Linked DNA regions of Ovis aries. The protein of the gene in region 3 purifies or fractionates together with the protein of the main gene of each other region. This does not show direct contact. Links are inferred from orthologs where the notes say so. Each region holds a gene or a part of one and is shown on either strand. Other genes may lie near its edges.

The links.
Region 1: the proteins of AMBRA1 (region 3) and BAG2 purify together in Homo sapiens (affinity purification with mass spectrometry; 3 studies listed by BioGRID, with this or other methods). This does not show direct contact. The link is inferred for Ovis aries from reciprocal best matches to the Homo sapiens genes AMBRA1 and BAG2.
Region 2: the proteins of AMBRA1 (region 3) and NEK9 purify together in Homo sapiens (affinity purification with mass spectrometry; 3 studies listed by BioGRID and IntAct, with this or other methods). This does not show direct contact. The link is inferred for Ovis aries from reciprocal best matches to the Homo sapiens genes AMBRA1 and NEK9.
Region 4: the proteins of AMBRA1 (region 3) and DNAJB1 purify together in Homo sapiens (affinity purification with mass spectrometry, with the first as the bait; 3 studies listed by BioGRID). This does not show direct contact. The link is inferred for Ovis aries from reciprocal best matches to the Homo sapiens genes AMBRA1 and DNAJB1.
Region 5: the proteins of AMBRA1 (region 3) and BAG5 purify together in Homo sapiens (affinity purification with mass spectrometry, with the first as the bait; 3 studies listed by BioGRID). This does not show direct contact. The link is inferred for Ovis aries from reciprocal best matches to the Homo sapiens genes AMBRA1 and BAG5.

Annotation. Positions count from the first base shown.
Region 1 is NC_056073.1:3,196,023-3,201,843, forward strand, and holds the start of BAG2 (BAG family molecular chaperone regulator 2), read right to left. Parts: upstream 3,793-5,821; 5' UTR 3,641-3,792; coding exon 3,528-3,640; intron 3,526-3,527; exon of another isoform or gene 2,520-3,525; intron 2,303-2,519; exon of another isoform or gene 1-2,302. UniProt on the Homo sapiens protein: Co-chaperone for HSP70 and HSC70 chaperone proteins. Acts as a nucleotide-exchange factor (NEF) promoting the release of ADP from the HSP70 and HSC70 proteins thereby triggering client/substrate protein release.
Region 2 is NC_056060.1:84,446,171-84,451,867, forward strand, and holds the start of NEK9 (serine/threonine-protein kinase Nek9), read right to left. Parts: upstream 3,339-5,697; 5' UTR 3,193-3,338; coding exon 2,974-3,192; intron 768-2,973; coding exon 590-767; intron 1-589.
Region 3 is NC_056068.1:75,485,881-75,491,437, forward strand, and holds the start of AMBRA1 (activating molecule in BECN1-regulated autophagy protein 1), read right to left. Parts: upstream 3,784-5,557; 5' UTR 3,577-3,783; intron 3,417-3,576; exon of another isoform or gene 3,021-3,416; intron 1-3,020. UniProt on the Homo sapiens protein: Substrate-recognition component of a DCX (DDB1-CUL4-X-box) E3 ubiquitin-protein ligase complex involved in cell cycle control and autophagy.
Region 4 is NC_056058.1:9,588,053-9,593,736, reverse strand, and holds the start of DNAJB1 (dnaJ homolog subfamily B member 1), read right to left. Parts: upstream 3,439-5,684; 5' UTR 3,391-3,438; coding exon 3,180-3,390; intron 2,058-3,179; coding exon 1,477-2,057; intron 1,179-1,476; coding exon 948-1,178; 3' UTR 1-947. Other genes in the region: small EDRK-rich factor 1-like, read right to left, coding at 5,171-5,381, 5,554-5,618. UniProt on the Homo sapiens protein: Interacts with HSP70 and can stimulate its ATPase activity. Stimulates the association between HSC70 and HIP. Negatively regulates heat shock-induced HSF1 transcriptional activity during the attenuation and recovery phase period of the heat shock response.
Region 5 is NC_056071.1:65,928,068-65,933,787, reverse strand, and holds the start of BAG5 (BAG family molecular chaperone regulator 5), read left to right. Parts: upstream 1-1,863; 5' UTR 1,864-1,953; intron 1,954-3,000; coding exon of another isoform or gene 3,001-3,123; exon of another isoform or gene 3,124-3,156; intron 3,157-3,242; exon of another isoform or gene 3,243-3,902; intron 3,903-5,036; 5' UTR 5,037-5,064; coding exon 5,065-5,720. Other genes in the region: cytochrome c oxidase assembly factor 8, read right to left, coding at 3,001-3,123. UniProt on the Homo sapiens protein: Co-chaperone for HSP/HSP70 proteins. It functions as a nucleotide-exchange factor promoting the release of ADP from HSP70, thereby activating HSP70-mediated protein refolding.

The DNA.
Region 1 (5,821 bases), on a different chromosome or scaffold from region 3:
AGGCGCCCCAGGCCGGGTGCGGGCCCGCTGCTCATACCAGCTCTGCTGCTGCATCCTAGCTGAGTGATCTCGAGCAGTTGCTGACATTCTCTCTGCCTCAGTTTCCTCATTTGTGACACAGGGATCATGAGACAGTAGGTGTGACTGAATGAAGTCAACGTGGTTAACTCACCAGCTGACAGCATGGACTAAGTTATGAGTTAACTGAGATACAGAACCATGAATATGTAGGGCTGACTCCTACACCATTTTCTAGGAAAAATCGGAGCATCCCTGGTTTCTGGTACCCAGGGGCCCTGGGCCAATCCCTGCAGTCACCGAGGGGCCACCCCATGCAGCACGTGCCCAGAACTGGGGCCGTGAACACCAGCTTCCGGGTGTTCTTATGCACTCAGCACTATGAACTCAGGATTGTAAGTAACAAGCCTCCTAATCATCACCCAGACAGTAAGGAACACTCACTGCTGAGACACTGGCGTTAAAATGGGCCGAGGCTTCAGGGTCAGGAGCTAGTCCTGAGCAGGACGGCCTCAGGCGGCCGCTCAGTCCCTCTGGACCTTTACTGCTGCTAAAGGAGGCAATGGATGTCCTCCTGCCTTGGAGGGTTTTGGAAGGTTCATATGATACCGTCTATGAGAAGTGACCTTTTAAATTACAGGCTCTGACAGTATTAACTGAGGTGCTGTCTTCTGGCTCCGGGGGTCGGGTCAGCCCAGCAGGAAACTCAGCTAAAGGACCCAGGTCCCTGCTCCCTCCCTTGTTCCTTGGTGGCCCGGTGCCCAGGAGGCTGCTCTGCGGACACTTGTGAGCAGCCAGCTCCCCGTCCCATCCGTCCCCTGGGCTGCTCTCCACACCTCGTGGCCAAGCATCTTCACCACCAGCCGGAGCTTCAGGGCCACTCACACCCTGCAGAGATGGCATTCAACAGCCCCTGATCTAAACCCGGATCTAAGTGGAATTTTCACTTCTTTCAGTAAAATCATATACTATTCCTACACTTTGAAATATGACATAGTAACTCAGAAAACTCAGGCGTAAAGCATTAAGCTCTGCAGCCACTCCTGAGCTCTTTTAACTTCTCAAGCCTCAATTTCCCGCCTGGACAATGAGGGTGACATAATTTCCACAAAGACACAGGACCTGTAGTCATGCTGGTTAGCTAAGATACCTGTTGGAGGGTATCATTTATGAATTATATGATCACTGCTAAACTAGTAACAATCGTGAGCAAAGTGCTCAGAGCCACTGACAAATGGAAAAGTCAGAGGCCATTTGCACGGTCACGAAAACCCGTAGAGAGAGACATCACCTTTTTAGGAGGAAGCAAAAAAGGAGATCTAGTTTCGTGCTAACGCATTAGAAACAACTGGAGTTTCTTCAGCGATTTGTGAGATGCGGTCAAACATTTGAAAAACTTTAAACACCATGGACACCAGTTCACATGGCAGGTCATGAAGCACTGAGCATAATTCTATTTTCGATTTCATGCGGAGAAAGTTTTTGCTGAGACTAGCACAACAGAGGGACAGTAAACACAGACCTCCTGGTACAGTCTGTGATTTTCAGTGTGCCTGCAACACTGCTTTATTAGCCACTCGTAACATGAAAGTAAATGACAGTTAACACATGAATGTCTTGTTTTCTTTTTAAACTTGATCTTCTGGGCCTGATTCTAGTTTCTAACAGCTCAGTGCTCTCTTCCATGACCCATCTGCCTTCATAAACTTCTCTATTTTTTACTTAACCTTCCAAAAGACTTAATTTTGTCAGCATCACTTTTTTTTAAAAGAAAGAAACAAAGCTCATCAGTCTAAAACTAGAAAAGTCCTTAAAATGAACAACTGAACACACATTTATCAGTCTCAGCTCAAGGGTTAATTCAGCAAGTGATTAACCACTTGTACACGGTAATCAGAATTCATTTCACATTAAGGAAGCCCTAGAACGTAATATTTCAAACAAGAAACTTCCTTTTAAAGATGAGCACCTGCCCTATGTGAGGCATCAATTCAAGTCTTAGAACAATAACTCAGCTTCAAGAAAGGAACTGTGTCCTGCCCGAGCTGAGAAGAAAACATCCTTTCTTTCCAACTAGGGAAGAGCCCCCCTGAAATGGCTGAGAACATGCCCTCAAAGTTCTTGAGACCAGAGACGCTCAGTCACTTGTTAACGCTGCTACATAAAATCGTCCACAGGAACTGCTCTGCCTGTTCCACCTGCTTCAGCTGGAGAAGGACCATTGTCACTCTCCGTGAAATCGTGGTGGTGAGCGTCTCATTTTCTGAGAAGACATTGTTTCTTTCTGTAATAATAAAAAGAACTATACAATAAATGATGAAAGTCAACATAAATATTAATAAATGATAATAAGTGCCTCATTTGGTTATTAATGTACTTTACTGGCAAACAGACCCCTTGTCCTGTTTTGAGATAAAGACACATATGCAGCCCTTCTTAAAATTGTGTCTTACATGTATTCCTTTGCTCACTCAGAGTCTGGTAACTATGGGAAAAATTACCTGTGGTTTTAGGGAGTTTTGGACGCCTTGGTAAGATCTGCCTGTAATTACACCTGCACACAATTTACCGGACCTTCAATGACAATAAGAAGTTATGGGAAGTACACAGAAGTCTTCATTCACTGTTAGAGAAAAGATTATTTCCCAAATTTCTTACACATTATTTAGGAATCCTATACAAGCCGGTGACTACATTTGTCACTAAGCAGGGTCCCCACACCGGTTTCTATAGAAACTGACAGCAGCACAGCCTGGAAAGAATTCAGGGAAAGAGCCGGGGTGAGGCACTCTGTGCTCTGGGAAAACTGGCAAAACAGGCTCTCCGGTTTTCAGGAACTCAGATTCCTAAATCTTCTCAAATTCAGAAAAGCACTAAAAGCTTTAAGGGAGACAGCAGCTCCTCCTGACCGGTGGTAACCTCTGCGCGCCTGACCCCGGGCCCTGCTCCAAAGTCACATCCTCGCTGACCTCAGCCCGACCCTCGCCGCCAGGGCTTCCCTCTGCGCGCTGACCGCCGTGGACACCCCGACCGGGAGGGGACACGCCGACCGCAGGGACACCCCGACCGGGAGGGAGCGCTGCGGCTCGGGCCCTGGCGGCCGGGAAGGTGGGACGGCGCCCCGGTGAGGCCGAGCGCGGCTTGGGGAGACACCTGTCCGCTGCTCTCGGGCCTGAGGCCAGACGGATTTTTCCGTTTTGCAAAGGGCTCGGTCGCTCAGCACAGAAACCACTAACCGGCCCCGGTCCTAAAACCGCTCGCGGCGGGGAGTGGGCCGGAAACACCTGGCCCCCCGCGGAAGGTTCTGGAAGCTCCGCGGCGGCACGGCCGTCGTCTCGAGTCACGTCCCCCCTACCTCCTCTGTTCGGGGTCGCGCGGTCCCGGCGCTCGGGGCCGCCGAAGGGTGGGGGGCCGCCGCGCCGACCCAGCGCCGCGCTGCCCTCCGCTCCGCCCTCGCCCCCCGGTCCTCGCCCGCAGCTCCGTCCCCGCGCGGCCCCCGCCCCGCGCACCTGAGCTCCAGCTGGTCCAGGCTCTCGAGCAGGCGGCTGGAGCGATCGGCCATGGACGAGGAGCGACAGAAGCGGCCCTCGTTGGCCTTGGCGCTGATCCTCGCCTGAGCCATCTGCGCCGGGCGGGCGGCCCGAGGTCACCGCCGTCCCCACGCGCCAACCGTCTACTCGGATGCGCTGCCCGCAAACCCGAAGTCGGGGGCCAGGGCACCCAGATAAGGGCGCGAGGGCTTGGCGGCCGGACTCCGACCGCGCGAGCTGCCTCGGGGGCGGCGCGGCGGGGCGGCTCCGCGTGGCGCCAGGCCCGGCCCCGCCCCGAGCACGCCCCGGGGCGAGGCCCGCGCCAACCACGCCCTCGCCCCGCCCCACGGAGGCCCCGCCCCCAAGCATAGCCGGGGCGGGGCTCGCGTGAGCCACGCCCTCACCCAGGCTGGCCCGCGGCGCCCCGCCCCCGATCACGCCCCGGGGCGGGCTCGCACCAGCCCCGCCCTCTCCCCGCTCCGGGGCCATCCGCCGCGAGGAAGGGGTCCTTTGCGTAGCCGTGGTTCCCGGGCACCTTCCCGAGGTGAGAACTGGAGTCTGGACGCCAACAGAGCAGAAGACAAAAAGCCGCCCTGTCCAGCTGCGTGTAGGGGTCAAGGTGAACCTCATCGTTTTCACACCCACTCGCATGAAAGCATTTGTAATGACTTCTCTGTTTAAGTTATTGGTTGGAATTCGAGTGAAATGATTGTTATTTAAGGCCGTTTCTAACCCCATTTGTATAAACCTCCTGTTATGAGAAGACCATGGAGGCCGCTCGGCCACCGTGCAGGTCAGGGAGTAGTAGAGGGGTGGCGGGGCCAGAGCACACTAGGCGTTCTGCCCAGCAGTACACGGAGGGGATGCACAGGGCACCGGGAAGGGGATAATAACAGTTCAAGGCTGGAGCCCAACCTTTAATCTGAGATCAAAGTCGAGGTACTTGAACAGAGATGAGGCCCCTAAGGCTAGATCCCAGTTCCTCTGAACTCTTAAATACTAATTCACAACTGCTGTAGGGGGTCATCTGGCCTCATTAGACGTTTTATTGTATCATGACAAACGTGGAATCCTAGACGTTTTGTGAATGTGCTAGACTCTCTCACACCTCAGACTCAGTGGACTCCAACTCCAGAGAATACCCAGGCCCGTCTTCACTCCCCACTGGGCCAGCATCCCAGCCTTGCCCTCCCATCTGGTCTGGTGCTGTTTGCACCACTGTCTGTGCTCAGCTCAGCAGCTGCAGTGATCCAGAATAAGGCACAGCAAATGACTCCTCAGAAACCTTCAGCGGCTCACTTGTGAAATGAGTAAAAGCCAAGGCCTTCAGAAGAGGCCTCAGAGGACTCTCGTCGCCTGCTGCCTGCACTAGCCTTGCTGTGCATGTCTGGATAAGCTCACTCCCTACCTTCAGGCCTTTGCTCAAGTTCTCTAAGGACCCCGACCACTCTAGTACGAAGAGCAAGCCCCGCCCCCGCCTCACCCCCACCGCTCCTCAGCTCTTTCGGGCGGCTGTTTTCCTTCCTCATCTCAGCAACCCCCCCCAAGTGTGCCCCACTGCGGAGGTGAGGGCTTCCTTTTGCTCACTGATGTATTTCAAGTGCTTAGAATAGTCGCTGACAAATGTTAAGTACTCAATAAATACTTTGTGAGTGAAAGAATAAATGGTTTAAAAGAAATTTAAAAGAAAAAAAATTGATGGAAAAAAAGAAAGCTCTTTCAGTTGAAGGCTATGCTACTGGGTTTCTGGTTACCCTGCCCAAGTAAGTCCAGGAGAGTCCTTGCACCTTGTTCTTGGGAGAGGTCTGAGTGGCCAAATGGTCAGGAGTCGGAAGAAAGGATTGGGCTGGTAGGATACCAAGCATCCAAAAACAAACTCTTTAAGGGAGGAATTTTTATTTAAGACAGTCAATGATACCACAAACCAGACGCCGTCAGTACATTACCTATATATCCTTTTTAAAATAAACACGGTCATTCATCATTTCTTTGACAAAAGCAGTTATTCAGGTATAAAAAGCCATCACAATAAAAACTTTTTAAAAGAAAAAAAAAACCTATCAGTAAAATGAAAGACAAATAAAAGCAAACAAGCAAGCATCATTGTCAGAAACATTTACTCTTGATAATATTCCCCGTTACTTTATGTAACATCCACTCTCCTCCATGTGTCTAAATTACGTTCAAATTATGAAGCAAGCTGGTTTCATAATTATAAGAGGAACCAGAGATCAAATTGCCAACATCTGCTGGATCATCGAAAAAGCAAGAGA
Region 2 (5,697 bases), on a different chromosome or scaffold from region 3:
AAACTTACTTAAGATGAGGAGGCTGAGGCACAGAGAAGTAGTCTGTGCAAGATTACAGAGATTAAAAAGTAGTAAAGCTTAGGATATGGGTTCAGGGTCTATTTTTTAACAAATAGGCTATATGGCTTTTTTTTTAAAACAAGCAAAAGGGTTCAAAGAAATCATTTTCAGTCAGCTATGGTCTTTAGACCACTTTTCAGTAGGACAGCTTTAGCTAAAATCATTATAAATAAATATCACCTACAAGATTTCACTATCAAGTGTCAAACCATGCTATGCTTCTAATGCCTGTCATTTCATAAGGGAAAAAAGCTTGAAAAATGAGTGTAAAATTCAACTGAACAAATAATTTGAAGATGGAATTATCATCACAAAGCAAAATTTGAGCATGCAGGGGGAAAAATCCCTCCCCTCATTTTGTGGATCACTTCAAAACTTTTCAGGGCCTGAACTACTTCTCTTAAACTCTAGCAGTCCATTTAAAGTTCTTGTTCTTTGTCAATATGGATCTTATTTTTCTCTCCCCCTCAAGGTAAGTATAAGCAAAGGAATGTCTTGCTGGAGGAAGTCCCACTGAACTCTACCTTACCATTACAATATTCCAGCTCAATCAGCAAGGTGGTATTATCCATGAAGTGATTGTAGTAGGCAATAATGTTGTCATGCTGCAGCAGTGCCAGAATAACAATCTCATTCAAGGCATCACGACGTTCCTTCTCAGAGAGTCGGGTCAAATCAACTTCCTTCCACACGACCAATGAGTCATCCTATAACACAGCAACAGAGGTATCGTGCTTTCCTCGAGCCTGGCAGAGAATGAATCTACACCCGGATCTCTGAGCCTAGAAAGAAAACTTCCTAGATGGGCAGAAACTGACTCCTTTTTCTCCTTTAAATAAAACATGAAGACTTTAAAAATTCTGCATACAATTGAGCATCAAAATTTACTGCAGGTCTAGGGAAAGCATTAAAATGTTGTTTTTACACTTAATTTACCTAATGTCAATTCCAGGTAAAAAATATGGCATGGAGGTAGATCTCAGGGTTTCTATTGAGGGACATTATGAAAGACTGCTAGTCATGATGAGGATTGTAGTATGGTTCGACTATTGGAAAAACAAGAGAACTGGAGAGTGGTTATCTATGGCTGATATTTCTTGTAAAATAGACATGTTAAAATTGCCTCTAACTTTATACAGATTTCTCTAGTGGTTTTCATTTATTCTTTATAGATAAGAATAAGTCATGTCTAACGGCTCTGACTCGATGGACATGAGTTTGAGTGAACTCCGGAAATTGGTGGACAGGGAGGCCTGGCGTGCTGTGATTCATGGGGTCGCAAAGAGTTGGACACGACTGAGCGACTGAACTGAACTGAAGGGCTCTGAGTTCACTTTCCTTACTCTGTCACGTTCTGTGACTCTGTTTCTCCTGCAATTTTATGTTATCACATGTTTTCTTCTATTCATGAAGACTTATCTGCAGCTCCTAATATTCACTCCATTTTATAACATCTCTAATTTACTGATGTTGTTCCCCAGCTCAGAAGCATCCCCACCTAAATAACCCTCCCTGTCCTTTAGGATTGCTGTGCTGGGCCTTTGAAACTTCAGCAAAAGATCAATGAACCTTCTACTGTGCACTCCCTTAATTTCCTTCCACTGAAATAAATGTCCATTCTTTTACACTTATATACACATACAACTTAAACACTATTTGTTACTAACAAAACTAACATGTCTTGCCACTGAAATATATGCTTCTTGAGGGAAAAATTTGCTTCTAATTAGACCGTGGTAAACTCAAAAATAATAAACATTTGATGTTATGGATAATGCTATGCAATTTTGGGGAAAGTGTAATCAAACTTAACTTGAAACAACCTTGGCAATCAAGTTCAACGCAATAATCATGGAAAGGCATGGACAAGCAGATGTGACCCTCCATTCCAGCCCAGGATTTGCTTCTAATTTAAGTGAGCGAGTCACTTAAATATACTACCTTAGTTTCTTCAACTATAAAAATAGGAATACCAAAGCACATCTCCTCATTCTCATGAGAACACTAACAGTAACTCATAATACATTAATCTTGCAACCACCTCTCTCCTCATCCATCTTTTAGACTTAAAAGTACTTGGAACACACAACAGACCTGCAGACAGATCACTGATAGAATCTCATCTTCAGCAACCCCACACTGATTAACTATTCTGAAAGCAGAGTTTTAAGACTTTAGTGATGAAAGTTTATGATCAATTTTGGAAGTAGACTCCCCACTCTAGGGTTTTAATCAGTGAAAGTGAAGTCGCTCAGTTGTGTCTGACTCTTTGCGACTCTGTGGACTGTAGCCCACCAAGCTCCTCCGTCCATGGGATTCTCCAGGCAAGAATACTGGAGTGGGTTGCCATTTCCTTCTCCAGGGGATCTTCCTGACCCAGGGATCGAGCCCAGATCTCCCGCATTGCAGGCAGACGCTTTAACCTCTGAGCCACCATCAAAGAATCTCTTCAAAGGATTTGTATGTGTGCAATAATGGATAGGCGGGAAGGTACCTTTACGTTAAGTTCTCAAAGAGGTCCTTTATCCCTCCTGAAGTTAAGAACGAATGGTTTAAAATATACCAAAAAAAAAAAAAGTATTTCCCAGGCATAAACGCTGCTGGATCATCACTGATGAAGAAGCCCACACGCTACAATCTTACCAATGACCTTTTCGATGATCAAAATAATCTTAAATAATATTACTTTTAAGGTACGTTGCTATTTCTAACTCCAACTTACAGACGGGAAAACTAAGGCTCAGAGAAGGTTCAATGCCTTGCTCAGTCCCCATGGTAAACAAAAACGACCGGTTAGAAAAACCAGTGCTGTTGCGAACTCCTAGTACAGGAGCGGTGAGGACCCCAAGACAGACACCCCTGAGGGACCCGATCGCTGAGCGAGGACGAGGCGGGGGAGAGCGGGGCCGCTACCTCGGTGCGGCGGTACAGCGTGGCCTCCCCGAAGGCGCCGCGGCCCAACACACGGATGGGGATGTAGTGCAGCTCCTCCTGCTCCGCCGCGCCGCCGCCGGCTCGCTGCACCGGACCGGCGCTGGGCCCCGGGCCCGAGTCCCCGCCACCCCCGGACTCGCTCCCAAAGTCCGAAATGAGGGAGTCGCAGTGTCGCTCGTACTCGCCCAGCACCGACATGGCGGCGGCGGGGACGGGACCGGCCTGAATGTCCCCGGTGGCGCTGGCGGCGCTGCGCCTCTCCCGCTTCAGACGCCGGCCCGCGGCCCCGTCAGCCCCGCGGCCCCGTCAGCCCTGCCACCCCGCGAGGCTCCATGGCGACTCCTTCCCCCTTGGCCCGGAAGCAGTTCTGAGTGCTTCCGGCCCAGGGGGTTTCCTCCTTTGCCGGGTGTTCCTTTAAGCCCCGGGGCAAGATTTCTTTCCCTCCATGCAGGCTGGGAAAACGAAGCCTCGGGCAGGGGTTGGCGGCGCCTGGTGGAGACCGAATGGGACCAGATGGCTCCCGCAGGGGCAAGGGCGTCCTCCTCGGGTCTATAGACCCCTCCCCTGATTCCTAGCCCGGTGCCCAGACAGTTTTGAGGTCCAGAGGTCGTCCAGTCTCATCTTGGCGCCAGGCCTATCTCAAGGGCAGTCACTGGGGGAAGCAGCCCTTCCTAGCGTAGCACAGCGCTGTTTGTTTTAGAGAATTGTTACAGCAAAGATATCTTTGCGTGCGTGTTAAGTGGCAGTGGTGTCCGATTCTTTGTGACCCCATGGACTGTAGCCTGCCTGGCTCCTCTGTCCATGGATTCTCCAGGCGAGAATACTGGAGTAGGTATCTTCCCAAACCCAGGGACTGAACTATGTTTCTTAGGTCTCGCGTTTACCTCACCTCCCTTCCCTCTCCCAGCGGAAAATTCTTGCCTCCTGTCATCTGTTAGTGGGCCCAGTTATTTCTTCCAGAACTACCCTGGGTCCCTGTCTTCCATACATCTTAGAGAATATTTGAAGTCAACCCTCCTGACACTCACTCCTCCCTTTCCAGATTTCACATTCTTCTTCCAAGTGTATTTCCAAATCTCTGACCACCTGATGATCTCATGCAACATTCTTCATGCCCTAAGTGCCAGATACTGTAATCGGAGGTGGGGAATCTGCAGAGCCCTGAAGTCACTAAGAGAACTGCAATACAGTGGAAAAGCGTGTTCCATCAGTTATGTGCCTTGAGCAACTTTACATCGCTAAGGTAACTTTTTAGTCGTAAAGTTATGGGAATTATTGACCTACAGAGATAACAGCTAACATTCATTATATTTATTATGTTCCTGGCACTATGCTAAAGGTTTTCTTTCCATGTGTCATTCCATTTAATCCTCACAGTATTCCCATTCTGCAAAAGGAGCTGAGATAGGGGGTTAAGTAACCTACTGTATGTTACATAACTATTGAGGGGAGCTGGGAGTCAAAGCCCACACAAGGCCTGGGATCTCTTTCAGAGGGCAGGATATTTGGGGGCTAAGAGAAGATCATGTGGATGGAGATCATGGTATTTGTGGGATAGAAGCAGAAGACAAGGCCTCAAATATTTATTTATATAGAACTTGATATTTCCTGTGGGCAATGGAAAATACTAGACATTTTTAAGCAGAGGAGTACATGATGTGTGTGTCTGTATGTCCTGATTTGCTGGGGGGGGGGGGGGGGGCCCAATAATACTTTTCCCCACAGCGTAATTAATGAGTCTTCTTTGTTCATGTGCCCAGCACAGATAATAAATAGTAAGGTCACCTTGCAAAAGACCAAAACTATACTTTACAAAGGACTGATGACAACATGGAAGATAAAGACAGGAGGCCTAGAGACAGGCACTCAGGTGCTATCAGTGTGAATGGAGAGGGGGGCCAGATTTAAGAAATCCATCCAAGAAACATTTAGAACTTTGTGATCAGTTGGGATATGGATGGTGAAGCAAATCGGAGTCCGAGAGACTTGCATCTAGGTTTTTAAGTAGGTGGATAGTGACAGCAAACATAGGAGGAAGAGAATGAGTAGAATGGGGTGAGGGGTATGGGAGCTAATGAGCTCACGTTCCTCTGACCTCTCTAAGAGTTCATCAGTGTTCCTTTTAAAGTATGATATCCTACACTCTGTGTAACATTGCACATTGGGTCTGAATAGGAGGGACTTTTGTCTGTCTTGATTTGGATCCATTTTTTCTATTAGTGTACCAGACTTAATGATGGTCTGCTTATACTGTGCTTATATTTAAGCAAACCTCTTTTTCACATCCAATCTGATCCAAAGTAACACAGTTCTCCCTCCAGATCACATCACTCCTTATTTTCTTCACAATGTTTATCTTTAAAATTGATGTCTTATTTATTGTTTACTTTGACTACCTCCATTCATTAGAACATAAGCTCCTTGAGAGCCCGGATTTTGCCCTCTTGTTCACAACTATGTATCATCAGTGCCTAGAAAAGTGCTTGATATAACAAGCCTAAAATTTATTTGTTGAAAGAATATCAGGTCATTGTTATTGCATATGTACATCTCTTAAACCAAAATGCCTGACTGATAACACCCTGTTAGATTTTTTACTGGTTTCATTCCAGGGTTCTAGACTGTACACATAGTTTTCAATTTTCAATTCATTCATCCAGCAAACACTAAGTACCAACTTGTGCCAGGTGCTGGGTTACAACA
Region 3 (5,557 bases):
ACAGAAGTTATTACAATAGCAGCATTATCTTTCCCATTCTTTCAATACAGACACATAAAAGCGCTCAAAGCCTTGAATTTGAGTCCTGCCTCTGCTACACATGTGCTGTGTGATCTGGAACATATCATCTACTTCTCTGTGATCTGAGTATCCATGGGGAAAATAACATGTACCTTCAAGGACTGTTCTGAGCATTAAACGAGATTAACACTTGCAAAGAACACGACACAGTAATGCTCAATAAAGGAAAGTAACCTTCCCTATGGCCTCCTTAAATAGTCTGTACAAGATTTCTCAGCTAGCAACATGGTAAACCCAGGACTTAAACCCAGGCCGCCTGATTCCTTAATCTGTTTTCTTCCAGCCACATTGCTTTGGCAGACTGCCGCATACTGCTGCTGCTGCTGCTAAGTCGCTTCAGTCGTGTCCGACTCTGTGCGACCCCAAAGACGGCAGCCCACCCGGCTCCCCCGTCCCTGGGATTCTCCAGGCAAGAACACTGGAGTGGGCTGCCATTTCCTTCTCCACTGCCGCATACTACTGACACATAAATATATTGACAATAACTGATCACAAAATTTTTATCTATCAGTAACTAATTTTAGCTTTGAGAAAAAGGGACCCAAAAAACCTGATCTAATTAACTTGGGGGAAGGAGGGGTTTGAAAATACAAAACATCAATTATATCCCCAAGCCGCAGCAGAGGTGGTACCACAGCACTTCCGTACAAACAAAAAAATATGACAAGAAACAGAAAGTTCTCTCTGGGTTTATGAGGAACAATTGGAGAAAGAAACAAGCATGACTATGATTAAAGGAACTTAAAAAACCTTAGGTTTTTTTTTTTTTTTGGTAAACCAAACCACTGGGCAAAAAGATTTGCATCCCATTCCAAAATAACTTGATCAGGGCTGAGAAGTATCTTTAAAAAAGAGAACGCAGTGTACGAACAACAAACTGTTTCTTCCAAGTCTTTTAAGAGTTAGATAAATGAGAAGAGTGAGATTAAACCACCAATGTAAATTGTCAACATTCATGAAGGTCCTTGAAGACCATAAATGTTTGTTTTGGATTCAGTATTAATAAGCAGCATAAAGGAGTGTGATCAAAAGGATAAAAGTTTCATAAGTAACCTAACACAACTTGAAAATATTTTGAAAATTATACAGTATAAAACTAAGCTATTATTCTGTTAATAAAAATAACCAACTGCTTTCAAGTGATATATATATAACTAGTCTTTTTCAAGTGGTATACATAACTTCTTTCAGGATAAGTTCTAAAAGACATTCAAAGAAGTTCACATCTTTAACAATCCCCAAGAACTTTCTTACTAAAAGAGAAGACAGAATAATTCAGCCACATTCGGAATTTGTAAATTCTGAAAAGAAAGGCCAGAAGAGAGCTTGACCTGACATTAGCAGAACACAAGATTTAACCGAGAAAGGTAAAGGTTGAGTGAACGTCTACCACAAAGCAGGGGGGGAAGCTGATAAGAAGCTCTACCCCTTTCCACGACAACCAAATTCCTGGTCCTCTTCAACTCAACTTAAACCTCTGCTAATTATTTTCCATGGAAGCATAACAAAATACCCCAAAATTTCTTCCTGACACTTACAGCGAATTTCATTTCTTATTTAGCATTCATCAGGAGCCACTAACTCTAAATTCTATGCAGAACCTATCAATCTCCAGGGGAATATGTCCCTCCCTTCTCTAAATTCTTCATTGTCATTGTTCAGCAAATTGTGTCTCTTTTGCAACCCCATAGACTGTAGCCTACCAGGCTCCTCAGTCCATGGGATTTCCCAGGCAAGAGTATGGGAGTGGTTTGCCATTTACTTCTCCAGACGTTCTTCCCAGATCAGGGATCGAACTGGGGAAGCCCTCTAAATTCTTTTCTCTGATATTAAATTCTCTTCTGTCATAGAAACTTTTTCAGAGAACACACATTAGCCTAACTTCCCAATATAGATTCTCCATAAAGACAGTCTAGTGACTCTTCATTAATCTATTCCAGGGAGCACTCAGGATCTGGCAATTAGGAAATCACTCAAGATCAAGGGCCCTACATTTAAATCCTGCTGACCTCACTAAAATGATGATGATAATGATAATACAAGGAAAAAACAATAATCCTTCCAAAAGTCATGTGAGAAGTCTAAATTTGTTAAAGTACATAGACTTGTACAGTCTCACTCCAAGGACTACAAATTTAGTCTCTTCTCCCTTAAGAAAACCCAACTCCTACTGATTCTAAATTTGTACTATGGAAATACTTATTCAACCTAGAATGACCTCTAGGTTGATTATTTTTTTCAACAAAGAAATTACACAAATTAGAATCATGCCACTAAATCCAATGAAAATAAAACGAGGAAGAACATTTAGTCTCCAAAGTTTCCGGGCTAGGAGAGAAAAGGAAAAGATAATGGAGTTCCCATATTTAAACTTTCGATTTAAATATGTCAATATTTGAATGATTTCTACACATAGCCTTTTAAACTCTAGTATATGCAGTAACTAAGTCACTAATGCAATACACAACACCGGCACAAAAGCGACTCCTTAGGTTTTATTTGGATTCTTCCTAGAAAGCAGTCTCTCAGGACAAATATCTGACTTCAAAATCTTGACCATCCTCTTCAGGACATTAAGTACTTAACACCACAGTTGAAAGACTTCCAGTGAGAAACAGGCTGAGGAAGGAGACAGAAAGTATCAACGCGAAAGTAAACCAGACAGCAAACAAAATTTTATATCAAGAAACAAAAAGAAATTGTCATGACTCCTCCCGCTAAAATGATACAGACTTTCAAAGCAAAAGCAGCCGCAAGACTGCGTGTTCCCTTTACTTCTGAAGTCTCCAGGGACGGAATTTACCTATATTCCTCGGAAGGAGGGACTAGAGAGACGATCAAACGACAAATCACTATGTGGATAAAATGACGGGTTAAGTATGGGGGGGGGGGGCGGGAGGGACACACTGAACTGGTAAACAACGAAAAAATGAACTCACGGTGCATTTAAAGATCTGTGCTGGATACGGGGAAAGTCACGTCCCAGATGAACCTCAGTTTCCCTACCCCAAAAAAGGCGAGAACGTGACACTTGGCTCAGAGGAACCGGAGGGCCCTGCGGCCTCAAGCCTCCACCTAGTCAAGGGTCCCTTCGAAGGCCGGACTTGGAGAGTGTCCCCCAGTACAACTGAGTCGTGACACCCGGAGCCTTTGGGGGTCGGGAGGCCAAAGCGCGCAAAGCTCTATCCGTTCCTGGAAAGCGGCTTCCCCCAAACACTGGGGGTACCGACACCCTCCCCGGACCCAACGAACCCTCCCTCCCGGGCCACTCCAGGCGGCAAAACCAGCATCCCTCCTTCCTTCCGGCTTCTCCCTCCGCTGCCCGCCGCCTCTCCGACCGCGCCCCCGAACGCCGCCGCCGTGTAGCTCCTCCTCTGCCCGAGTCTCCGCGGCCGACCGGCCCTCCCGCCCACCCACCCGCCGGCGCCAAGGTCTTCCGAACCCGGCAGCGGAAGGATGCCGGGCCGGGGCCTCCCAGGCTCCTCCTGGGCCTACCTGCGAGGCGGGCGGGGGCTCGGTTTGCAGCCCAACGGGTGGACTGAGCCGCGCACTAGAAGGAGAGGCAAGAAGGAAGCGAGGGGTCCGCTCCGCCGACCGGCGGGAGAAAGCAGCCTGAGCGCGGGGGCCTCGCGGACGAGACAGCCTTCGACCCGGCGCCGCCGCCGCCGCCGCCGCCGCTCGGGAGACATCAAGCGAGAAGACGGCGCAGGAGATCACCGAATAGACGAACGCCCCAGACCTCAAAGGAGGAGCGCCCAAGCAATCGTTCAGGGAACCGCAGTCGAGCGTCGAGAAGCAGCTTCGCTCCAACTCCCGGTCCGGCTCCTGTCCAAGGCGTAAATAAACGAACCCAGATCATAAGCCATGGAGTCGGAGTAGACTAGGCTTCTGCCATTTTCTGTGTCGAGTGCGGGCTAACTCGTTTAGAGAACCGGAATTTCTCTTGAGAATGTTGAAGAGCAAGTCATAGTATGATAACGCTTTGTTACTTAACTGTAATTCAGCGACTACCTTATGGACTCTCAACAGTATTTATCCCACCTGAGCCAACAGGCACAGAGAGAATCCAGGCTGAGGAACAAATCATCTCTATTCAAGCTCCAGTTAGCTCCCATAAGCATAGCTGAGAAAAGCTGGGAACGTTCAGGGTTGTGTAGTCTGATCTTACGGCAGGAAATATAATACACATACTGCTTTTATTTTATTGCAAAGACCTAAAACCACAGGCGTGCTTCTTAATAATACATAATAACCAATAGTCTCTTTGGGTTCTAAATTCAACAAAGTGTTATCGTCGCAACTATGGCGTTTTTTTGAACTCTCTTAGTAGACAGACTAACATGGTCAGCACAAATATGGTAATATGTTCATTCCAAGCATAATTTAATAAATCATATAGATCATCACAGTATGGATTACCAACTGTGAGCAATAATAGTTTATCTTACCCACAAGCTGGAATCAAGATTGCCGGGAAAATATCAATCACCTCAGATATGCAGATGACACAACCCTTATGGCAGAAAGCGAAGAGGAACTAAAAGCCTCTTGATAAAAGTGAAAGAGGAGAGTGAAAAAGTTGGCTTAAAGCTCAACATTCAGAAAACGAAGATCATGGCATCCGATCCCATCACTTCATGGGAAATAGATGGGGAAACAGTAGAAACTGTGTCAGACTTTATTTTGGGGGGCTCCAAAATCACTGCAGACGGTGACTACAGCCATGAAATTCAAAGACACTTCCTCCTTGGAAGAAAAGTTGTGATCAACCTAGATAGCATATTCAAAAGCAGAGACATTACTTTGCCAACTAAGGCCCGTCTAGTCAAGGCTATGGTTTTTCCAGTAGTCATATATGGATGTGAGAGTTGGACTGCGAAGAAGGCTGAGCGCCGAAGAATTGATGCTTTTGAACTGTGGTGTTGAAGAAGACTCTTGAGAGTCCCTTGGACTGCAAGGAGATCCAACCAGTCCATTCTGAAGGAGATCAACCCTGGGATTTCTTTGGAAGGAATGATGCTGAAGCTGAAACTCCAGTACTTTGGCCACCTCATGCGAAGAGTTGACTCATTGGAGAAGACTCTGATGCTGGGAGGGATTGGGGGCAGGAAGAGAAGGGGACGACCGAGGATGAGATGGCTGGATGGCATCACTGACTCGATGGGTGTGAATCTGAGTGAACTCCGGGAGTTGGTGATGGACAGGGAGGCCTGGAACTGAACTGAAAACAAAAGAACGTGATCATCTTCCAAAACAAAAAGTTTTAATTTATTTATATTCCCATGAAGTCCTTGGATATATCCTATAATCAGTTCAGTTCAGTCGCTCAGTTGTGTCCGACTCTTTGCGACCCCATGAATCGCAGCACGCCAGGCCTCCCTGTCCATCATCAACTCCCGGAGTTCACTCAGAGTGGCATCCATTGAGTCAGTGATGCCATCCAGCCATCTCATCCTCGGTCATCCCCTTCTCCTCC
Region 4 (5,684 bases), on a different chromosome or scaffold from region 3:
GTCTGACTGCACACCAACTTTACACAGAATTATAAAAACATATTTACAGGCGTTCCACAGTGCTCCTGTAATCAGAAGCAAAGACCCTTTTATCAAAAGGGATTATAGCTAGGGCTGTGCAAAATTCAAAAGGATCAGATCCTTTTGAGAGAGTCCAGAGTCCATTGAACAAAAAAAATGACCTGGGTCACGGGGAAATCCCAGGTGTGCCAATAGATTGCCTCACAGCAAAGGAAGGTGAAGATCTCTGTCTGGGAGCCTGGGGTCAAGACTCCAGCCAAGGTCCCCCACCCTTGAGGGAGAGGCAGCTGCACAAGTTACTCACTCAGTGAAGGCCGGCTCCCTTGGTCCTGCTGGAACAAGGGAGGTATTGCTTGTGGGAGCTGGCCAGGCAGTTCAACAACCAGAGTTGAGATTCTCAATTTGAGATGGCAAAAGAGAAGACGGGGTTTCTTAGGGGAAGGGCAAGATGGGGGAGACAAATACAGAATAAAACACGAACTGATCACACAATAGAAACTCAGGAGTGTACAGGGTCTGGTACCCATAAACGCAGGTCCACACCCCAGGATGTCTGCAAGCGGAGGGACTACAATAGGGGGATCAAGTCCAGCTGTGGGTCCGCGGTCTGCCTCTCCCCCTGGGCAGGGCCTGGAGAGGGAGGAGGGGGGTGCTGCCCACCCAGGAGGGCTGCAAGGACCCAGTGGGGCAGACTGCACTGCCTTTGCCTGCTGTCCCCACCACCTGCCGCCCTACCGCTCGAAAAACAACTTTAGTCTAGTGCACGACTTTGAAAGATTGTAATATATTCTCTGGAAAACATTCAGCAGTATGAAAGCCCTCCCTGGGCCCTCCCGCCCTCTCACGGGTCCACAGCTGGTGGAACGGTCAGGAAATCCTTGAGCTCTGGAAAGGTCCCTGGTCAGTCCTTGGGGAACACGGATTGACTATATCGGAAGAACCTGCTCAAGAACGGTTCTTGACGTCTGGGGAATCCTTTCAGGGAAGATCACTTCAAACTCAATAATGAGGTCCCCGCGTTTCTCGGGCGTTTTCGGGAGAGGGAGGCCTTCTCCGGGAACTTTTCGCCGCATGCCAGGCCTGATGACATCTTTGAACACAACGGGTATGGTCCTGCCGTCCAGAGTGGGGACATTCACTGTACAGCCACACAGAGCCTTGGAAAGCAAAGGGACAGCATTAGAAAGAGTAGCTTAAGGAGCTCACATCTTGCCCAGAGGCTGCTGACTGGAGGGTAAGCACCATCAGACCTCTGCAGCTAAGACCCTGCCTTAAGATCTACCCACGTCACCAGCACAGAAGCTCTGGAAAAACAGAGCCCTGGACAGTCTTGTCGCCATTGCACTGTCCAAGCCTGGCCGCACCAAGTGCCCAGAAACATCTGTCAAGCAAACACTGAACAGCATCACAAAGCAGCTTCTCTCTCCCCAGATGCTGCCCTGCCTAGTGCCTTACCTCCCGAAGGCTGATCCTGGCTGGATAAATGACATCAGAGCCATCTCTCTTAAAGATATTGTGTGGCTTGTCCTTTAAAACAAAGACAATATCGGCTGGAATGTTGTTTGAAGTCTGGTCTCCTTCCTTGGGGAAGGTGATTTTGGTCCCTTCTTTCCACCCCCGCTTCACTTCGATGGTCAAGATTTTGTCTTCATTGCGAATGCTCTTTCCGTCGGGGTTCAGCCGCTTATGAGAGATTTTCATTTTCTTGGTACAGCCGCTGTAGATCTCTTCAAGTGAGACCCTAAGGTCATGGGTGACGGGGGGATCTTGTTTCTTTCGGGTGGGCTCTTGGGCAGGGCGGGAGCGGCCAAAGTTCATGTTGGTGAAGCCACCCATGCCCATGGGGAAGCCAGAGAACGGGTCATCGATGTCCATGCCTTCCTCCCCGTTGCGCTGCCCAAAAAAGTTGTCAAAGGGATTTCGGCCACCGAAGAACTCAGCAAACATGGCATGAGGGTCTCCATGGAATGTGTAACTGAAGGAGGTACCGTTAGTACCACCGCTGCTCCCGCCGCTGGGACCACTGCCCTTCAGGCCTGAAACGCCAAAGCAGAAGAAATCAGATGGCGAGCTAGGAACTTAACTCTCCAGGAACTTTCCTTCAAGGAAAAAAGCTTAGGAGCCATTGGGGGAGGAATTTTTTTTAGCCTGTCAGGGAAGAACAAGGAAGAACTCCAAGCTTTTACCTCCCACTTGCAGCAGCAAAACAGAACCCCCACCCACTTATGGCAGTTAGTCCACTGTGGCAAGACAATGGTGAAGTGTTCAAGGTTTCAGATGGGCATCTCTTGGGGCCACCCAGGTCCTCACATCTGAGTAACTCATTTCCCTTGCACTGTTACAATGAGTACGGAAAACTAAGAGATCCAATGAAAAATGCTTACCCCGGATCAGTTTTCACTAAATGCTTACTCTTAAATTCCCTACAGCTAGAGACGTGTGGAGAGTAGTAAAAGGAACGTGAAACTGCAAATGCAGACTTTCAAATTCTCACACCCTGGCACTAACTGCCCCCATTCTCATGTAATTAGCCACTTCTTCCTGAGGACCAAGCCCAGCAACCTGCCTGAGTCATCAATGGGAGACGGGACAAGAAAGCTTTCTTTTTCCCTGAAGAGGGCTGGCCCCACTGTTCCCTGCACCTTGACGGCCGACTAGGTAAGCACTTTACAAGGATTACCTCACTCCACCCTCGGAGGCGCGGGAGGTCGCTCGGCGCCAATTGGCACCTCATTTGCAGGCTCACTACTCGCAGCCTGTGCCCAGGGCTCAGCCAGAGGTCCTGCCCTGAACCCCGGGGTGGCAGAGCCTCCCACCTCGCACAGGTGAGCCCAGGCCCGCAGCGCCAGCAGCCAAGCTAGGTCTCCGAACCCTCTCTTTCTGCACCCGCACCCCCGGACGTGGGTGGAGGCGAGAGCCCAGGGAGGGGCAGCCCCAGACATACTAGAAGCTTCTGAACAAGCAGCGCGGCCAGGGCCCCTCCTCCCATCGGGCGGCCGCCAATCCGAGGGCGGAGGCCCTTGTGGCCAGAGGGCCGGGGCTGCTTCAACCCCTGCGGCCGAGCACCCCCCGGAGATGCTGCAGCGAGGCCACCCTGCCTCGGTTTCTCCGCCTGTCAAACGGCGAGGGCGCGCCCCCGGCTGCGCGCGCGCACGCACCTTCCTCCCCGTAGCGGTCGAAGATCTCGCGCTTGCGCGGGTCGCTGAGCACGTCGTAGGCCTCGGCGATCTCCTTGAACTTCTCCTCAGCGCCGGGCTCCTTGTTCTTGTCCGGGTGGTAACGCAGCGCCTGACGGCGGTAGGCCCTCTTGATCTCCTCGTCCGACGCACCGCGGGCCAGGCCCAGCGTCTGGTAATAGTCCTTTCCCATTGCCCCCGCCTGCGGCCCGCCACCCAGCTGTCGCCGTCCCCCGGCTCCGCCACCGCCCCGTCCCGGACTCTATATACCCGTCCGGCGGAAGCTTCCAGAGCCCGCCAGCCCCCTCCAGAACCTTCCGCCCCGCCCCTCACGCGGCTTTGGCCAATCCCCGTCGTCCAGGCTGCGACGCGCGACATCCGGGGCGGGGCCGCGCCGCCAACGGCCTCCTGCGCGCGGCCCTGCCCCATCCTGGGCAACGCTTCTCAGCGGCGCGCGCCCCGGGCGGCGGAGGCCCCGCCCACCCTCCGCGGGCACCAATAGCGACCCAGGTTTTATTGCTTCCTGCAGCCAGGCAGGCCTTGCGGCCCGCCTCCTGTCTGGGTCAATAGGTTACGACGCGCTACTGTAGGAAGGGGCGGATCTGGGGAAGACACCACCCCGTCACAGTTCAGTTCAGCCTCTCATTCGTGTCCCACTCTGTGTGACCTCACTGCAGCACGCCAGCTTTCCCTGTCCATCACCAACTCCCAAAGCTTGCTCTAACTCACGTCCCAACGAGTGGTTGATGCCATCCAACCATCTCATTCTCCGTTGTCCCCATCTCCTCCTGCCTTCAATCTTTCCCAGCATCAGGGTCTTTTCCAGTGGTCAGTTCTTCGCATCAGGTGGCCAAAGTATTGGAGCTTGAGCTTCAGTATCAGTCCTTCCGGTGAATATTCAGGACTGATTTTTTTTAGGATTGACTGGTTTGATCTTGCAGTCCAAGGGAGTCTCGAGTTTTCTCCAACACCACAGTTCAAAAGCATCAGTTCTTCTGTGCTCAACTTTATGGTCCAACTCTCACATCCATACATGACTATTGGAAAAACCATAGTTTTGAATAGATGGACCTTTGTTGGCAAAGTAATGTGTCTGCTTTTTAATGTGCTGTCTAGGTTGGTCATAGCTTTTTTTCCAAGGAGCAAGCGTCTTTTAATTTCATGGCTGCCGTCACCATTTGTAGTGATCTTTAGAGACCAAGAAAATAAAGTCTCTCACTGTTTCCATTGTTTCCCCATCTATTAGCCCCTTCACTAGCAGATGCAAATATGCCCGCCCCTATCTCACAGGGCCAGGAATGAGTTCCTGCCAGGTGTCTCTGGGCGGTGTGAGTTGCCTAATTTTCCCCAGCCCGACACCCGCTTCCTTCTGGAAATAAAAATAGTCACCCGCCCTGTTCTACCAGCTGTGTGTGCATGCTCAGTCATATCCAACTCTTTGCGAGCAGAATGCAGGTGGGAGCTCCAGTACTATCTGCGTCCTCAATCATAAAGGACCCTGCAAAGCGAGGTGAGCACCGGGAGCCAAAGTTCACCTCCCTGCAGACGTCTTCTCAGTCCAGCCCTTCAAGCCTCTCATTTTACCGTTTTCTCAAGGACACCCACCACTGAAATCTGAAATTGTTCCTTGGTTTTCATGTTAAATGTCTCCTCCGCTCCTAGCCTGGAATCACCGTAAAGTCAGGGACTGGGTCCTGTCAGTGCTGAGTCTCCAGTGCCAGGAAGTGTCTGGAACCAAAGCTTCGTAAATATTCCTGGCTGTTTTTATTTTTATTTATTTATTTTCATATGCATGGTTAGTGTTTTATTCTTTGAAATGGTTCTGAAACATCACGCTAAGTCAGGTTGAAAGGAAAAGTTTAAAATAGTTTTGTACGGATATAACATGTACTGACTGTTCACTCTACAAAATCTTGATCATAGAGCTTATGATACACTTAGTTTGCAGCAGCACCCTGGTTTCCAGATAGTCATTATTTCTCTCTTGTTTGCATAGACTTCTTATCATTGGCTGCCTTCTGCTTTTGTTGCATGATCTCAGAGTCCCGCTGCTTCCTCTGAGAGGTAGTCAGGCTATCCTCTTTTCTTTTTCCTTTATTAGTTTCCTGGGATTTCTTCATGTTTTTCTGGCAAGGAAGTTCTCGTTGATTTCCACCTGCCCGACCTTTCAGGCGGGGCCAGACTCAATTGCCCCTCTCCCTCTGCGGACTAAAAAGTCCTGGCGGTTTTTAATGCATCTGGTTCTTTACCCCCACCCCACTGCCTTCATGATGTGGGGGAGACATGGGCATGCAATACACCTCTCAGGGCCTCAATATCTTCATCTCTGGGCAACATCATCCATTTTGGCTCCTACAGTCTGGGGTGTCTGTGGTCAAGGACAGGGCTGACGCGGAAAGGAGGCTCAGAAAGAGGCACCACCTGAAAAGGGAAGAGGGGAGTAGGTGGAGGTGGCCTACAGAGGGGAAAGGTTCTTGGAAGAACTGC
Region 5 (5,720 bases), on a different chromosome or scaffold from region 3:
TGTAAATAGGGATGATCAAAGCACCTACTGAACACAATTGTGACGTTTAATTAAAATATGCAAAGCTTTCAGAACAGTGCATGCAAATGCTTGAGAAATGTTAACTACAAGTATAAATGTCAATGAAATTCAGACTATAAGCAAATATTGATACATATAACATGTAGCCGTGGTTCTCTTAACTTGTGAACTTATTAGACTTGAACCCAAGGATCCTGATGTTTTAAGGGAGCCCAGCCTGGCGCTCTATGATAATCTAGAGGGGTGGGAAACAGAGAGGGGAGGGAGGGGAGGGAGGCAATATATGAATAATTATGGCTGGTTCCCACGGATGGAGGAGCCTGGTAGGCTACAGTCCATGGGGTCGCGAAGAGTCGGACATGACTGAGCGACTTCACTTCCACGGCTGGTTCACGTTGTTGTATGGCAGAAACCAACAAAACACTGTAAAGCAATTTTCCTCCAATTAAAAAATAAATTAAAATTTAAAAAAGAATCCTGATGATTAATCTTAACAAAACCGGGGGAAAAACAACTAGACAAATGGAGAATATAAGTAAATATCCTGACGCCCAGACCAGCCACATGAGACTCTCCGGGGGAGGGTCCCGGTACTTTTTACCCTTCCAGATGGTTCCAAACATGCAGGCAAAGGCGTAAAACAATGATAGAGACAGCAAAGACAAAGAATAAGCAGGTATGGCACAGCTGGGGAGCATGTGATCTGACAGCTGAGCTCAAGTTGGATTTGGAAGGAAAAGTGGTGCTTGACGCTGAGTTCTCTACTGTTTCTCTACGAAAACTGGTAGTCAGAGAATTCCCTGGCAGCCCAATGGTTAAGACTCTACATTTTCACTACTGAGGGCCCAGGTTTAATCCCTGTCCAGGTAACGGATATCTCACAAGATGTGCTGTGCAGCCAAAAAATAATAATAATGATAATTTTTTAAAAAGCTGGTAGTCTGGGGCTTTCCTGGTGGCTCAGTGCCAAAGAATCCTGCCAATGCAGGCAACATGGGTTCCATCCCTGCTGTGGGAAGATCCCACGTGCCGTGGAACAAGTAAGCCCGTGGGCCACAACCACTGAGCCTGTGCTCTGGAAGCCACGCTCCGCAACAAGAGAAGCCTCAGGAATGAGAAGCCCCGTCACCTAGAGAGTATCCCCCACTCGCTGCAACTAGAGAAAAGCCTACACTGTAACAAGACCCGCACAGACAATAAATAAACAAAATTTAAAAACAAAACAAAAAAATCCAGGGACTTCCCTGGTGGTCCAGTGACTAAGAATCCACCTTGCAATGTAGGGAACACAGGTTCAATCCCTGGTCAGGGAACTAAAACCCCACATGCCGTGGAGCAACTAAGCCACTAGGACCTGATGCAGTCAGATAAATTAATCAACTAATTAACAAACAAACTGGTAGCTAGAGATGAGAGGTAAATAAATCTTGTAGATCCTAAAAGCAGACCTCCCTAACTCAAGTGAAGAACAAAGAATTAATTAAAAAATACACAGAATGAAGTAGAAATACAGGATTAAAATATATCTCTTTAGATTAAAAAAAAAAAAAAGATTTACAGCCTGTGACTTCTAAGAAGACCTCATATTTAAAATCAACAGTCTCTCTGGCCTGCAGGAACTGAATTACCTAGAGAACTAGCCGTGTGCTCAGGAAGCATAGAAAGATGAGGCCAAACACACAGGAATTACACATTTCCCTGAGGAAAGAACTGTTCTTTAATGTCCCAGCCAATACCTCGCATAATGGGGAACACAGCCCAAGAAAAACACAAGTCATAAGGCTAGAACTGGGAAGGTGTGACTCATGGGTCAGCTGCTTCCCTTTCAGCATCATCGCCTTCACAGGTGGAGGCAGTCTCACAGGTGTGCACCGGCTTGTCACCCGGCCGGCAAAACCTAAGACGGAGCTCGTCTCAAGGAGCAGACCCACGGTAAGACTTACTTCAACAAAAGGTTGGGGGTCAGTGGAGAAACCTGTGTGGGCGCTCTTCTTTTTTCCAGTGCTTGTTCACAAACTAAGCTGGGCTAAGGCCCCGTCCTGCGGGCAGCTGTCTGCCCTTCCGGAGCATTTTCAGATACCTGTTGAGTATCTTTCTGTCCAAAGAGTGGGATGCTGAGTGCATTTTATGTTCTAGGAATAGAAGTCAAGGGCTGTGGCCACTCAATCGGGGAACTGAACCAGAGGCTTGGGATCCCAGTGACCAGCTGCCCTGCTAACAGGCAGGCATGCTTTGGAATTAACAGGCTCTTTTTAGTCCTTCTTTAAGGATGGTTTAAAGGATGCTTTCCAGCCTCCCTCCTTAGCCTGTTGGCAAACGAAGTGTTAGTATTTAGATTTAACTTGGCTTAAACTTTCTATCTGCAGCCCATTCCAAGCCGTTAGCCCATATTTTCATATGACAGCTGGAATGAAGGTCTAGGGCTCCCTCAAACTAAAACATCCTTCCCCAGAGCGGGGCAACTTCTAAAAACTGCTTGCCACTCCTTGCCGCTGCAGGTCTTCATCTTTGGGGACCTCTGGTTAGGAACAGGGATGTATGCACACACCGTTTCCAAACTAGAACTGTTCAACGTGTTGAATGAGCCTACGAAATGCGATAGTAAAGTCTGCCACCACTTGAAGAAAAGCACTAATAGTCTACATGCAGCCAAACGCGCTGGCGCGCACATTCTGTGCATATCAAGAGCTCTTTGACCATAGAGACTAATTATCCTCGACGAGAAATTCGGCACAAATCAACTTGCTCGCGGACTCTGCCCCTACTTGTCAAGAGCCCTGGGGTGGCGGCGACGCAGGAGCCTCGGAGGCTCGGGACTGCCCCACTCTCCCCGCCGCCTGTGTCCGCGCGGCGGGGCGCCGGGGGCCCGGCCCGCGCCGGCTCAGGGACCCCGCTCCTGGGGAGCTCCGCCGACGCGGGGGACGCCACCACAGGTGTCCCTGGGGGGCGCGGCCCGGCCTCTCCAGGGACCTCACTCACCCGGCTCGGCGCCGCATCCCTGCGCTCGGCGCCGCGCTCGGGGGCGAGCTGACAGCCGCGGCCTGAGAAGGCGCGGCAGAGAGCCGTGACGACGAGCCTCCTCGCCGGCCGCCGGGCCGCCATAGCTGCCCTCCGCCGACTCCCGCGCCGCACGGCAGAGTCGCGACGTCGCGAGGCGCTACCTTACGGCACCGTCGCAAAGTCCGCGGGAGGGCACGGCGCGGCGGACCGTGCGCTCGCCCGGCGTCTGACAGGCTGAGGGGTTGGACTGACGGCGCGTCAGGGCCGCGGCTCCTCGGGAGCTGCCATCCTCGGCGGCTTCTGCGCCGGGCGGCCAGCGGCGGGCTCGGCCAGGGGAGAAGTGCGGCGCGGACGCCGGAGGACGTTTTTCCCGAGGCGGGGGGGCGGGTGTTCGGCCGGGCCCGGGGCGACGGCGGGAGCTGCGGAGTCGCAGGGCGTCGGCGGCGAGGCGCGCCATGGCGCGGGCGGCACAGGTGAGCGCGGGCGGCCGCGGCGCGACCCTCTCCCTCCGCGCGGGCGGTCCCGGACGATCCCCGTCTCCCGGGTCCGGAGCCGGCCGGGCCCGAGTCCCCTCCCTCCCCGTCGGCTCGCCCGGCCCGGCCGAGCGCGCCCGCCCCCTCCCCCGCAGGCCATTGTGAGGTCAGGCCGGCGGGTGCGTCGTGGGGTCCGGGCGAGACGCCCGGAGCGGCCGCCGCGGCCAGTAGCTGCCGCCGCCACCGCCGGCCCCTTCACCGGCTGCCCCGACCAGACCTAGCCGGGAGGGCTGAGAGGGATGCAGCTTGGGGCCCGGCGCCGGTGCCGCACCCCGTAAAGGGCTGACCTACCACCTGGCCACTTCACCCGCGGGACGCCAAGACCAAGCCCGCTTAGACCGCGTCTGGGTAAAGTGCCGGGAGGGCAGGGCGAGGGGGCAGGAAAGAACCGAGGCAGCCCGCCGCTCCGGGCCTCTCCGGAGGCGCGTTCTTGGCTCGGACACCGGCAGGGGATTAGTTTCGATTGAGCATCCATCCCCCGCCCGTGAGCGTTTGAAAGAAACCCAAGAACGTGGGCGGGGGGTGGGGCGGGGGGAATGCATTAAGCCACTCGAGCCTTAATGGGAGGCTGATGAATGAGTTAGTCATCGTTGTCGCATTGTCTTGCGGTGTGTTTTGGAGGGGGGAGCATAACAGGGCCTAGGGGGTACCAGGCCTCCAAAGCCCAAGCTAGTGCCTTTATCATAATGCCAGGCGCCTTCCCTGTGGAATTCAAGCCTCTGCAAGGAAGTTTATGAGGTCCACAAAGGGTGTGGCGAGAAACAGGGCGTCTTTCTGGAAGTGTCTAACGGGTGGAGAGGCACGTAGAAACGGGGACTTCCGCGAGTGCCCGCGAACCCCATTGTTTGTTTCAGTGGCTCAGTTCCTTTTACGGGAAGCTAGGCCGGGTGGGTGGAGGAGGAGATGGCAACCCACTCCAGTGTTCTTGCCTGGAGAATCCCAGGGATAGGGGAGCCTGGTGGGCTGCCCTCTCTGGGGTCGCACAGAGTCGGACACGACTGAAGCGACTTAGCAGCAGCAGCAGCAGGCCGGGTGGGAGTGCTTAGATGCCCCCCAAAGGCCCGGAAGGTTATAAGAGCTACTGGTTTACTTTCCACAAAGGTGCCCTTCTCTTGCCAAGAAGCAGCTTCCACTGTGAAGACCTAAGGTGCTGGTGCTTTTTCCAAGCTGACAGCTCAACCTCATGCCATACTTACGTAGGCACACGCTGCTCTCTTTTACAACTGAGGAAAACTGAGGTTCCCAGGCCCAGCACTCCAGCTTCCCTTCCACACTGCAATGACCCAGTCTCAGTCACTGCCATATGGAGGTTGCTTGCGGGAGAGGGGTTGATAGACTCTGCTTTCTGTCCTGAAGTGTGGTCTTTGGCTTGCAGTGACAACAGGCCCTTTCGTAAGCATATCTTTTTAGAATGAGGTACTAATACACAAGTACCATTCTTCAGGCTTTGTGGTGTAACAAGTTATTTTTGTCATCTTTTAGTGCTTGTGAAACTGAACACAACAAAAGTATGGAGATGGGAAACCAACACCCTTCTATTAGCAGGCTTCAGGAAATTCAAAAGGAGGTGAAAAGCATAGAACAGCAAGTACTTGGTTTCAGTGGTCTGTCAGATGACAAGAATTACAAGAAACTGGAGAGGATTCTCACCAAACAGCTTTTCGAAATAGACTCTGTAGATACTGAAGGAAAAGGAGATATTCAGCAAGCCAGGAAGAGGGCGGCACAAGAGACAGAGCGTCTTCTCAAAGAGTTGGAGCAGAATGCGAACCACCCACACCGGCTCGAAATACAGAACATTTTTGAAGAAGCACAGGCCCTGGTGAAAGAGAAGGTTGTGCCGTTTTATAGTGGAGGCAACTGTGTAACTGATGAGTTTGAGGAAGGCATCCAGGATGTCATTTTGAGGCTGACACATGTCAAGACCGGAGGTAAGGTCTCCCTGCGGAAAGCACGGTATCACACCTTAACCAAAATATGTGCCGTGCAGGAGATTATCGAGAACTGCACGAAGAGGCAGCCTTCCCTGCCGCTCTCTGAGGACGCGCACCCCTCTGTGGCCAAGATCAACTCTGTGATGTGTGAAGTGAACAAGACTAGAGGCACACTGATTGCCCTTCTGATGGGCGTGAACAACAAGGAGACATGCAGGCACTTATCTTGTGT